3 linked regions of the Rattus norvegicus genome follow. The main gene of each other region encodes a partner of the protein of the gene in region 3 in a complex. Links are inferred from orthologs where the notes say so. Each region holds a gene or a part of one and is shown on either strand. Other genes may lie near its edges.

Region 1 (3,645 bases), on a different chromosome or scaffold from region 3:
TCTCAGGCGCAGGGGTCCTGCCGCTCCTGGGCCCTCCCCCACGGGAACCCAGAGGCCTTATACAGTTTCCTCTTGGGCCAGGGATGTGGGCAGGGGTGGGCAGTGTTGGTGGTCTCTTCCGCTCTGCAGCCTCAGGAGTGCCCACCTGACCAGGCGGTGAGGTCTCTCTCCCACGGGGTCTGGGAGCAGAGAGCTGCTGCGGGCCGGGATCCGCAGGTGTGGGACTCCCGGTAAACACAGGGAGTGCCCGGTCCTAGAGGAATTCTGCCTCTGTGTGTCCCGAGTTCACCAGGCAGGTCACTTGCAGCAGAAAAGTTGGTCTTACCTGTGGTCCCAAGGCTCAAGTTTGCTCTCGGGGTGCTGCCCACAAGCTCTCTGCGGCGGCAGCAACCAGGAAGCTGATTGACTTATTTAATGCTATGTGAAAACTTTAAAATCAACGTAAGCATTGTGGCCTCGCTTTTGCTCTTTAATGTTTCACGACTGTGGATCTTTGCAGTGGTTTCAGAGTTTTTGTTCTAAGTGCTACAGGTACACAGAAATACGACTGTGGACATGAAGATGGCTCATTGTTTTCAGTTTAATACCCATGTAGAAGCTCATTTCAAAGGCTCATTTCACAACTGTAACACTGTGCCTGGAACTGAGTGACACACTACAGTTGACGGCTGTCCTGCTGTCTTACCTCAGCTTTACGGATATTTTCTCTAGCTTCATCTATTTTCTGTTCCAGCTCTGCTCGGCTCTGTTCTGATACAGCAACTCCATGGCATTCTAGTTCATTTAGAACCTATCAAAGAAAATAAAGATTTTTGTTTTCATGTTCTTTCCTTGAGTATTTACATAATTCCAGAGGGTTCAGTGGCTAAAGCAATAATTACTTTAAAATTTTTTATTTCATTAATTTTTAAAAATTGAGAGTTGCAAAACAAGGAAGAGTCCTTGTCTTAGCCTTCCCTGATGATAACGACTTATAAAAGCATGCGGTAACAGCACCCTCCTCTGGAGGTGCAGCTCAAGGTCTCCAGTGGATCCTCTGAACCATAGCAGAACAGAGCCTTAAGTTTACTGTGGTTTCTTGTGTCCTGCCGTACTGCACACGGCACCAGGGTTGACCTGCCTTTCCATGGCTCATAAGCTGGTGCCTCCCCAGTTCTGGTTTTGCACGATAAGGCCACAATTAAGTGAAAGTTGGGATTCCGTGAACACTAGCTCTGTGATGCTGTGATGCTCATCTGATAACAGAGATGGCAGTGACGAAACCCACAGGACAGTAAGGTTGACAGTGAGGACACGCTGGGTAAAGTAGTCCACAACTCCAGGTGGACTTCATTGTGCTACAGAATTGTGGGCATTTAAACACTCACTGTTTGCTTATCCATTTTCCATGTAATATTTTGGACCTAAGGCTAACAGGAGATGGAGAGTAAAAAGAAAGTCAAGAAATTGATAATACAATCTATATTCCTTATTTTCATCACATAATTGTGACATGGATAGCTTGAATTTTAAAAATGGATAGATGTTGAGTTTTTTTGTTTTTTTTTTTTTTAAACAGGATGTTATGAAGTGTAGGCTATTTTCGAAACAGATCTCATTCTTTTTAAAGCATACACCCAACAGTTCAACAACATTGCACTTATACTACTGCTTCTGGGACTTTTAAAATTCTTTTTTTTTTTTCTTTTTTCTTTTTTTCGGAGCTGGGGACCGAACCCAGGGCCTTGCGCTTGCTAGGCAAGCGCTCTACCACTGAGCTAAATCCCCAACCCCTTAAACTTCTTTTAAAACAGCAAATGGCACTACACAAAGAACTTGTCTAATGACTCTTTGAAAACACAAATGTGTGCAGAGATAATCTCTTGTGCACTGTGTAAAAGCATTCATCTGTCAGTAAAAAGCTGATTGACCAATGAACTGAGGCAGGATTAGAAGGTGAGACATCGAGCAGAGAAAGAGAGGAATTCTGGGATTGAGTCAGGCAGGGAGATGGACACAGAGGAAGGTGGTTGCATGAAACAGGACCAGGTTACCAGCCACGTGGCGGGACTCAGAATAATAATAATTAAGTTATGAGCTAGTAGCAGAACAGGCCAAAACTTACGGTCTAAGCATTTATTTATAAATACAATTAAGTCTCAGAGTTGTTGTTTTGGGGAACTTATGTGCGGGTGGGAAAGCCCTCGGCTACTAAAGAGATACTTGTACATATTGCTTGTTCACTGGTTTGCTGTATTGGTGATCAAGTCAACTGCCTTGCACAAGTAAGCAGGAGTTCTCTTAGGAAGCTGGACTTCTATATTTTAATATGAGTAGACATGGCCAAATATATATATTCTACATTTTAATGCAAAATTTTGAAAATGATTGAATTTTTATGGCTTTACAGAAAGCATAGTTTCATGTGCTACTGTCCACCTGTATTTCTGTGATATCAGGCACACACACATGGTGCACATGCAAACACAAATAAAAATAAAATTCAACTCTTTGACTCTATTTGAAATCTCATAGAAGGCTTCTGTGACAACCTCTCTCTCCCACCTTCATCCTTCAACCCTCCAAAAAGAAACGGTGTAGACAAGAAGTCATTGAAGAGAAGTGTTAAAAACTGAGAGCTTTTTAAGAGCTGAAGTACAGCTCTTCACAGTTGATGGCTTCTGGTGTGGTGGGGGTGGACGGCTGACCACTAGGAGTATGATTATTCTCTGTTGAATATATGGGTAATGCAAATTAGACTTGGTATTTTCTTTTTTCATTCTTCTTTTCTTTGGAGGAGGTGGACCTGAGAAGACTGAGAAGTGAATGTGATCAGGGTACATTAGGTGAAGCTCCCAAATAAACAGTAAGAAGATTGGGTTGGAAGAAACCTATCTGCAATCTGACTTCAGCTGCACACAGCCAGTGAGTGCTATCATACTTACCCGCTGCTGATGAACAATATTTTTGTGCTCACGTGCCACACGAGTGGCCCATTTTCGAGCCTCCTTATTTAGACTGTGTTCTTCTGTGGTACCAGTTTCTGATTCTAATTGTCGACTCTACAACACAAGAGAGAACAGAAAGAGAAGGACTGTTATCTCCACTGTAACTTTTTCCACTCTGTAGCTGGACCAGAGGGTCTTTCCTTAATCAGCACTGACAATGCAAGGCATGTCCTACTACTGTGGGAAGCAAGGCCTCACTTCACAGAAAATCAGTATGAGATAGCTACACAGAGATTAGTAGCCTTGGAGGCCACTGAGGATGAACCAATCCCTTATGGTCAGCTTTGGGCCCCACCTTCTTTTTCTTTGGTAATGCTGGAAAGGTATCAATTTTGCTACTCTTTATCAGTGAAGAACTTATCAGGAAGTTCTTAACCTTCCTAATGCAATTCCTCAAGTTGTGGTGACCCCCAACCATAAAATTATTTTCACTGCTACTTCATAACTGTGATTTTTGCTACTGTTATGAATCGTAATGTAAGTATTTGTTTTCTGATAGTCTTAGGCAACCCCTGTGAAAAGATCATTCAAGCCCCCAGAGAGTAGACACAACACATAGGTTGAGAACCACTGTAAAGTTTCCTTGTCAAAAGAATGGAATATCTCTGGCCGGGTGGAGACAGGCATTCTGATCTGCATCAAGAATCAGAACATTGCA
Region 2 (3,645 bases), on a different chromosome or scaffold from region 3:
CCTGCTAGCGTGTTCCTCTGGTATGGCACACACTGCCCACTGTGCCTGCCTGTTAGCTTACATGTTACACGTTAGTTCATTAGTGAACCATACTTGTAAGACCCTTCATTTGGTGAGTTTTAGGCTGTAGTGAAGCAGGTCTGGCCCTGGTCTGTATTTTTGTGTAAATCAACAGGCATTTTGGTGTCTTTCTTGAAGGAGGCTGTGTTCTTCCTAGTCCTGGTTGGGTGTCTGCTCCAGTTGCTCTCTTCCATCACAACTCTTATCCTAAACCTCTCATCTTAAGCACACCTATGTCAGGTGCCCTCTGTCCTGCACTGGGGCCCTGCAGTGTTCACCACTGTAGGGGCTGCAGATAGCGGCTCCATGCTTCTCAAGCACTGTGTGTGGTGTCTCTCCTATGCCTCCTGGAGAGGGGCTCAAGAACCTGCCTTAGAACCAGCTCCCAGGCAACTCGGAAGGTGCTGGCCTGTGCCCACACAATGGAGGCCTTAGTGACCTGTTCATTAGGCCTGAGTGTGGTCCTCAGAAGAGCTGGTTAGGGAGGAGGGAGAGTGGACAAACAGAGCTAGAACTGGTTTGCTCTGATTGGACTAAAGCATGAGGGGACAGGACAATGTGTTGTGTGTGGGTTCCAAGTGGCCTAAGCTGTTGGGTCCCATATATAGATAGTGAGGGGGCCCAGTAAGGGGTCTGGGGATAGAGCAGCACCCTGCCTGATGGGGACAGTGCTGTGGGGTTCCCCAACACAGCTCCTATGGAACAAACAGATGCTAGACTCATGGACGCATATAGCAGTGGTTAGCCACTGTCCACCGACCTGTGCTTCGTAGGAGTCCTGACTGTCTTTTTTCTCAGACGGAACGAGATGTGAGTGTGCGGCAGCGGGCAGTGGACCTGCTCTACGCCATGTGCGACCGAAGCAACGCCCAGCAGATTGTGGCTGAGATGCTGAGCTACCTAGAAACAGCTGACTACTCCATCCGGGAGGAAATTGTGAGTCCTATAACCTGAGGGGCTGTTAAAGCTGCATTCTGGTGGGTGGTTGCTGGGTGGTTTTCAGTGCCTGGCAGGCTTGCATGAGTGTCTGTAGACACTAGATAAAAGATTCCGTGGCATCAGCTTTCTTGTCTAGCCTTCCAGTGTAGACATCTGGCAGTGCAGGGTGTGGCCATCTGTGCCAGGCAATGAGCTAATATTCATTCTCCAAGATACTCTTATATTTTGAACATGAAGATGCTGCTGGTTAGGTTTTCTTGGTGTCATCTGGCATATTAGAGGTTAATGTTTAAGCTGTCATCAGCACTGAGCAGTGTTGGTTTCGAGCGGACTCTGGTCAGTCTGAGTGTCATGCACACCTAACCATTGTTGTAGTCCAGCAAATTGCTTACATGAAACCACTGTGTCTTAGGGAGGAAGGAGGCAAGTGCATGACCACAGACGAGAGGCTCTGGCTTGCCTCACCTGGTATAACACTGGTCTCTCGATGGTGTCTCTGGACCTAGAGTGACAGGCAGTGTGGCACTGGCTGGATTGCTTCACAGGCCCTGCAGCAAGGGTCTGATGGGGAAGGGCTAAGGGCTAGGCGCACACATTGAGTTGTTTCATGACCATGTCTTGCTCCAGGAAAGGCCTGAGATAATTAGAGGTCAGGAAGGCTTCTTGGAGGTGGTAACTAGCTGAGCTATTGACTAGGGCTAGAAGGAGGGGCCACATGGGATTGAAAGCTGCTGCCTCACTCATAGCAGGTGCTGAGTGCGGGGCCCTGGCTACCTAACGAAATCCTGGAGTTTTTTGTTTTGTTGTTCTAGTCTATATTTGTGTGCAGTGTATGGCTTCTGGCATGTGTGTGGACTTATTTTTCCTCCTACATGGGTTCCGGGGACTAAGGTCATCAGACGAGGCAGCAAACATTGTCCCCTGCTGAACCATCTTGCTGTTCTCCTTGAGATGATTTTAAAAGATTACAGTTTTAGAGTTTCTGACTCAAGATTGTGCCTGTGTGGCCAGATACATTGCATGTGACAATAGCAGGGAACAAATGGTGAAGCAGACTGCTCACCCTGTGTCCAGGAGGCAGAGTCCAAGTGAGACCACAGTCCACAGCCCCCTTCAGGGTCTCCTTTCCAGTGACAGCAGGCTCTCCACTGATCCCCTCCTTCAAAGTCACCTCCACCTACTGCGCTGCTCTGGAATTCACGCTTCTAACACTTGGAACATTAGAAAAGTCAAGGTTTGGCTGAGGCAGGCAGTGTGGGCACAGGGGCATTGTGTGTGGGGAAGGGTTGGCCTTGTTTGAGATGTGGCTGGACATGTGGCTTGTAGCTTTGGCCAGGCTCACCCTCACTGGATTGCTCTTGGTGTTTTCAGCAGAGGTGGCAGTGGCATCTGTCAGTGCAGTGTGTTGGTTTGCCCTCTAACCCTTTTTCTTTTCTATTGAAATCAACTTTTTCCCCCACATGATAGAATTTGTTCATGTTTTCTCCCACTCCTGTTCCTCCCAGACCCTTCCCACCTCCCTACTTATCCAAGTATGTTTTGTTTTTTTCCACCTTTTTTATCTTTTATTTTTGAGTTTATAATTACATTTTTTCCTTTCCTCCTCAGCCTGCCCACATACCCCTCCCCATTCTTCAAATTAACCGCCTCTTTTTTTTATTAATTGCTAATGCATTTATATGTGTATATAGATCCATAACCTTTCTAAATAAATCCTGTTAAGTCCATATCATGTTGCTTGTATGTTTTCAGGGCTGCCCCTTCTGCACTGAACAGCAGATTGGTGTGCTCCTCCTGGGGAGGACTGCCTCTCCCACTCCCAGCTCCTCCTGGGGAGGACTGCCTCTCCCACTCCCAGCTCCTCCCGGGGAGGACTGCCTCTCCCACTCCCAGCTCCTCCCGGGGAGGACTGCCTCTCCCACTCCCAGCTCCTCCCGGGGAGGACTGCCTCTCCCACTCCCAGCTCCTCCTGGGGAGGACTGCCTCTCCCACTCCCAGCTCCTCCTGGGGAGGTTGCCTCCCCCATTTCCAGTTTTCCTCAGTTGCCTATAGTTCTTTGTGTAGGGTTGAGACCTTGCGGGCTTTTCTTGTCCTGTTTGTTATGTCTTTAGTGCCAGCCTTGTTCAGCTCACATTTGGGTGGTCTTGGTGAGATGTGATGGGGCAGCTTCTGACATTCCTGGGAGACAAACTCCGGATCCTCTGGCTCTCACCATCTTTTCTCTCCTGCAGTGCCCTCTTGAGTCAGCAGGACTGAAGCTTCTAGTTAGGTATCAGCTCGACTTCTCTGTGTTGGAGGAGATGTGTGGACGTTGTCTTCAGCAGTAGGGCCTTACCGTCAGTTGTAGAGAGCAACCAGTAGATATTTGGGGGCTTCCCTTTGGCCAACGGCTCAACAGGATGTAACCCATTTCTGGCACTTGATGGCACAGGATGTCTAGTTGGAGTACTGTCTCCTCTGTTACTTGGGGACTTCATTTAGATTCCTTTTATATGTTGTATTTTCACAAGTGTCTACAGTTATATTTCAGTATGCTTTCTCAAATGCCCTTTAGTGTTAGTTGTCCCTCCCCCTATTTCTTCCTGTACCCTTCCTTCCACCCCTGTCCTGTTTAATTAGCCCTACTTCATTGTCCTCTGTATCTCT
Region 3 (4,196 bases):
CATTCAAGACTGGTCAAGCTTAGAGGAACCAACTAGGACACAGCGCTTATGACTACTTGGTGATGTGACTAACTTGGCAGGTGAAGACTTAAAACACCAGGATCGCTGCAAAGTGGTTCACCCATTCATTCTGCAACTATCCAAGGGGCACTGGTTCAGTCTCTAGGAAGACCACAGTCAACTCTGCTCTTCTGAAACATTTATCACAACATGTAAAACTCCTGCCACTTGACAAGCTTGCTATCATCCACTTTGGAGACACTCAGTAAGAAAGAAGCACGCCGCCAAGGTTCTCTGAATCTGCCGGCCTGGAGAATTTCCTGGAAACGGTACTGAAAATATACTTCCCACTGTCTGACTCTGAGGTGGAGAGGCAGAGACCTGTTAAGCTGATGTAAAGATATCTGAATGCCAGACTCGGATGGAGCCAGCAAGTGGAGTCATTCAGGAGGGAGTCACTCAAGAGAAGTCTGACATAAACCCAGCCGGTAGTCACAAGTTTAGCAAATTAAAAGGAGGAGACTGTAGCATCTGCCTAGCCTCACAGTCTCCAGGTTCAAACGACAGCACCACACACAAAGACCAGTGTGAGGCTGGGGTTGTAGCTAGGTGCTAGGGCCACACACTTAGCACTCTCCAAGTCCTGGTTCAAACACCAAAAGAGAAAAGGCACTGGCAGAGGAATTTACTAGGGCCTCCCTTTTAATCTCTTCCAAGTGTTTTAAGGGTGTGTCTCAATCTAGGTATTTGGGGAAAGATAAAGAATGCCCACAGGAAAAGGAAACAGCTAGTCACCAGCAAAAGAAAGACAGAAAATGCTGAGGGACAAACATTTCAGGGAACTAACTTGCCACCACTCATTTCATGCCCTATTTCACAATGCTCAGCATCTGAACAATTCACAGGGTTCCAAAGTACATTAGAAATGTGCTCAGTTCCTCTCTTACTCAGGCAGAATAATAATAGTTTTGTGGCAGTACCGCGATCCTCAGCAATTTCAATAACAGACACTTTTTTAAAAAATAAATACCACTTTTTTAAACATGTACTCTCAAAAAGGCTCCTTACTGTGGCTCCTTACACATAGAAGTGTATGGAGTATCTATGCCCTGTCACCAAATCAGTGTCCTTCACTTCTTCATTTAAATCCTTTATAGTTTCCTGACTTCTTTACATGTCTCCTACAGAGAGATGCTGCTTTCTTATAAGTTCTTAGGTCATAAGGAAACTCACACACACATACAAAACATTTCAATCAAACTAGTTTTAAAAAAAAGTTAAGTAGCAAAAATGGTAACCATAATGGTTGTTGAACTGTCTGCACTTTTCACTGTAAACGTCTTCTAAAAATAAAAGTTTTATCCCAACAAACAGATACATCCCTCCAGTTAAGAGCATTTAAAGAAATGCCCTGCCAAGCAGCTGGCCTGTGGGCTCCTGGCCCTAGCTCCTGCCCTCACATCCTGTCCACCACATAATCCATGAGCAAGCCTTTCTCTTCATCAATTCATCGGGATTAGTAAACCGGCCTCCCTGAAAATAGAACTGATATTTTCCACAGGCATGTATTCCTATGCTTTCACTATCTATGCTATCAGACTCTTTCTTTATGCTCTATGTTTCTGACCACGAAGTACCAAATGAAATATACCAACAGATAAGCACAAAAGAACCGTATCTGGCCAGAGTCTGCATGCACTTACATTTCCAGGTTGGTTGTTTTCCGAATAGCAGCGGTGAGGGCAAAGCCGCAAACTTTCACATTCAAGATGCTACCGAATACCTCTACACCCTCAAACTGCAGCAAGAAGCCACTAATCTATTCCTTCAAAAGCAATGTCTGTAGTCTGATTCACAACAATAGATTGCTCATAGGCAAGAGGATCAGCGAAGTTGTCCTCCAAACCAAAGGGAAACAGAAGTGAAGGGAGGTCCAGCCAGCTCATCCTTGCTTTTCTTTTCTTTTTTCTGGGAATCCGGATTGCATTTCCTGGTCCCCCCCCCCCGCCCCCGCCCCCAAGAGGGACCGCAACTGTGCCCTGGGTCCATAGCAGACACCCAAGTCAGTGCGTGCGCACGGAGGGCGAAGCGGCCGACCAGGGGACGCGCGCCCGCTGCAAGGGGAGCCGCTTTCTGTTAAATGCCATCAGAGCCAGCCCCGGCCGCACCACTTCGGCCCGAACGGCATTGACCGCCCTTCACTTGACAGGGTATTCCAAGGAGGCGCCGGAGAAAAAGGATGAGCCGGGGACTCGAGGCCGGGGGCACCCGCGGGCGGCGCGATGCGTCTCCCGCGAGCTCGGGATCCCCGGGAGGCCGGGCCGGCCCCCCACCCTCCGGCGGCCGAGGGCAGAGGGGTCAGCGGTGGAAGGGACCGCCCGCCGCGATGCCCCCTCGGGAGCGCCGGCAGTGGCTGCGGACGCCCATTCACCGGAGCCCGTCCCGCGGCCGCCACCGCCGCGGCCCGCCCGCCCCGCCGCCCCCGGGAGGATGAGAAAGACCAGGCAGAGCGGCGACGGCGGCCGCGGGGACGCGCGCCCGGCCGCTGGACCCGACCCCGGGCGGCCATCGCCGACCCCCGCCCGCGCGCCAGGCCGCCCGCGTCAGCTCCTCACCTCATCTCCGGGCGGGTGCGCGCGGCCGCCCCTCACACAAATCAGTGCAGCCCGCACGCCGCGCGGAGGAACGCAGGGTCCGCAGCCGCGCACACCATCCCCGCCCGCCCGCTCGCCCGCCTGCCTCTCGGCCGTCCCGGAGCCCGCTCGGGATGCTCCCTCGCGAGCCTCCGTACTACGGAGCAACCAAGCTGCGCGCCCTCCCTGTGCCGCTCCACTCCTCTCGCCCTCCGCTCCTTCGCTCCCTCGCTCCCGCCTATCTCCTCATCTCCCTCCGCCGCCGCCCCTCCGCCCACAGCCAGCCCTCCGCTCCACCCATAGATGGGCGGGAATAACCGCCTGCCAATCGGACGGCCGAGACCACGCCTTCTCATTCGTTCGCATGACTCCGCCCACTGGGGAAAAAAGGACTAGCCACAGGAATTGGAGGTGTACAGAGTGGCAGCGAGATAAACCAATTAAGTGGTTCGGGAAGCACCCTTTTTCCTCCCAGTCCTTGTCTCGTCCCATGAAGGCATAACTAGAGGTTTCTGGTCTATGCGTACGGAGATTTTTGTTTCATGATTTGGCGCTTTGCTCTTTTCTATGCGCGACAGTAGCTAGCATACATTTAACTAAATTGAAGGTTTTGCAGAAAGAACGTGGGAACGAGAGGCGACAGAGACAAAGACTGAAGAAAGATGGTAGGGAGTACGGTTGGAATGAGGAAGGGTGTGGCCTTTTACTCTAATTTGCATAAAACGGAACCCATCTCGGCAACGCCCAACTTCTCCCAAGTATTGGTGGTCCCTGGGATGACTCGCCTCTCTACAGGGAGGAGCATGCTGGGAATTGTAGTTCCGGGTTCGGTTGCTATGGCGCTCGTCACAGCCTCCCCCAGATCGGTCATCCTGCGGTAGTGACGGGCAGTCCGACCAATGGCAGTACTGTTTGGACCTACGAAGGCGGGCTCTCTGCAGAAGGACTGGGAAGGTGGCGGCGGCGAAGGCGCTGGCGGTTGAGGTTGCTCCAAGCCAGGTGAGCCAGGGAAGAACGATATGTGTCTCGTGAAATGGGACTTTGGGCAAAAGATGGAGAAACGTCTGAAGGAGTTGTCTAACCTTGGGGAGATTGGTGCTTCGCATCACACGCCGACCTCAGAGCTGCTCCTGCTCTGGCCTAGCTTGGCTGAGGCCGCTGAGGGGCGGGTAATACTAGATTTGACGGACAGTTCCTGACACTGGCTAGGTTTGGATTGTGGGTCTTTGCTTCATCCTCCGCGTTTATGTAGACAAAGGTCTAGAATTGCCTTTCTCTCAGTTGAGTCCTCCCCACCCCAGCTTCTCCCTACCACTGTTTCTGATGCTGTCTCCGTTACTACTTCCCTTGTCACCCTTCTTACCCTTTTCTTGGCATTTCCAATAAGCGGTTTCCTAAAGCAAGCAAGGACGGGTGTTCACAGTAATGGGGCCTTGGGTCAGGAATTGCCTGCTTCATCCAGTAGTCCATACTTGAGCCATACTAAAGAATTATCCCAGGGTCATGAGGAGGCTCAGATACTGATTCTGGATTTGGGCCTGATGGTCTGCATTTGTTTTTTGT

What was found.
Region 1: the proteins of Itsn1 (region 3) and Fchsd2 are in contact, whole or in part, in a crystal structure (PDB 6GBU), measured with the Homo sapiens proteins. The link is inferred for Rattus norvegicus from reciprocal best matches to the Homo sapiens genes ITSN1 and FCHSD2. Residues at the interface, in NP_003015.2 of Homo sapiens: Pro1076, Ile1078, Gly1098, Leu1100, Leu1102, Gln1117, Ala1118, Arg1119, Gly1120, Lys1121, Lys1122, Arg1123, Leu1136, Ser1137, Pro1138; in NP_055639.2 of Homo sapiens: Tyr576, Gln581, Thr582, Asp584, Glu585, Gln602, Asp603, Asp604, Asp605, Gly606, Phe607, Val618, Pro620, Val622, Leu623.
Region 2: the proteins of Itsn1 (region 3) and Ap2a2 are in contact, whole or in part, in a crystal structure (PDB 3HS8), measured with the Mus musculus proteins. The link is inferred for Rattus norvegicus from reciprocal best matches to the Homo sapiens genes ITSN1 and AP2A2. Residues at the interface, in NP_034717.2 of Mus musculus: Asn841, Trp843, Ala844, Phe846, Ser847, Ser848; in XP_006536218.1 of Mus musculus: Glu308, Gly320, Val321, Glu324, Gln329, Gly331, Leu332, Lys333, Phe346, Gly348, Asn349, Lys350, Gly386, Ala387, Gln388.

The regions. Positions count from the first base shown.
Region 1 is NC_086019.1:165,052,235-165,055,879, reverse strand, and holds part of Fchsd2 (F-BAR and double SH3 domains protein 2), read right to left. Parts: intron 3,042-3,645; coding exon 2,925-3,041; intron 791-2,924; coding exon 686-790; intron 1-685. UniProt on the Homo sapiens protein: Adapter protein that plays a role in endocytosis via clathrin-coated pits. Contributes to the internalization of cell surface receptors, such as integrin ITGB1 and transferrin receptor.
Region 2 is NC_086019.1:206,137,324-206,140,968, forward strand, and holds part of Ap2a2 (AP-2 complex subunit alpha-2), read left to right. Parts: intron 1-858; coding exon 859-996; intron 997-3,645. UniProt on the Homo sapiens protein: Component of the adaptor protein complex 2 (AP-2). Adaptor protein complexes function in protein transport via transport vesicles in different membrane traffic pathways.
Region 3 is NC_086029.1:44,463,199-44,467,394, reverse strand, and holds the start of Itsn1 (intersectin-1), read right to left. Parts: upstream 2,849-4,196; 5' UTR 2,616-2,848; intron 1,962-2,615; exon of another isoform or gene 1,704-1,961; intron 1-1,703. UniProt on the Homo sapiens protein: Adapter protein that provides a link between the endocytic membrane traffic and the actin assembly machinery. Acts as a guanine nucleotide exchange factor (GEF) for CDC42, and thereby stimulates actin nucleation mediated by WASL and the ARP2/3 complex.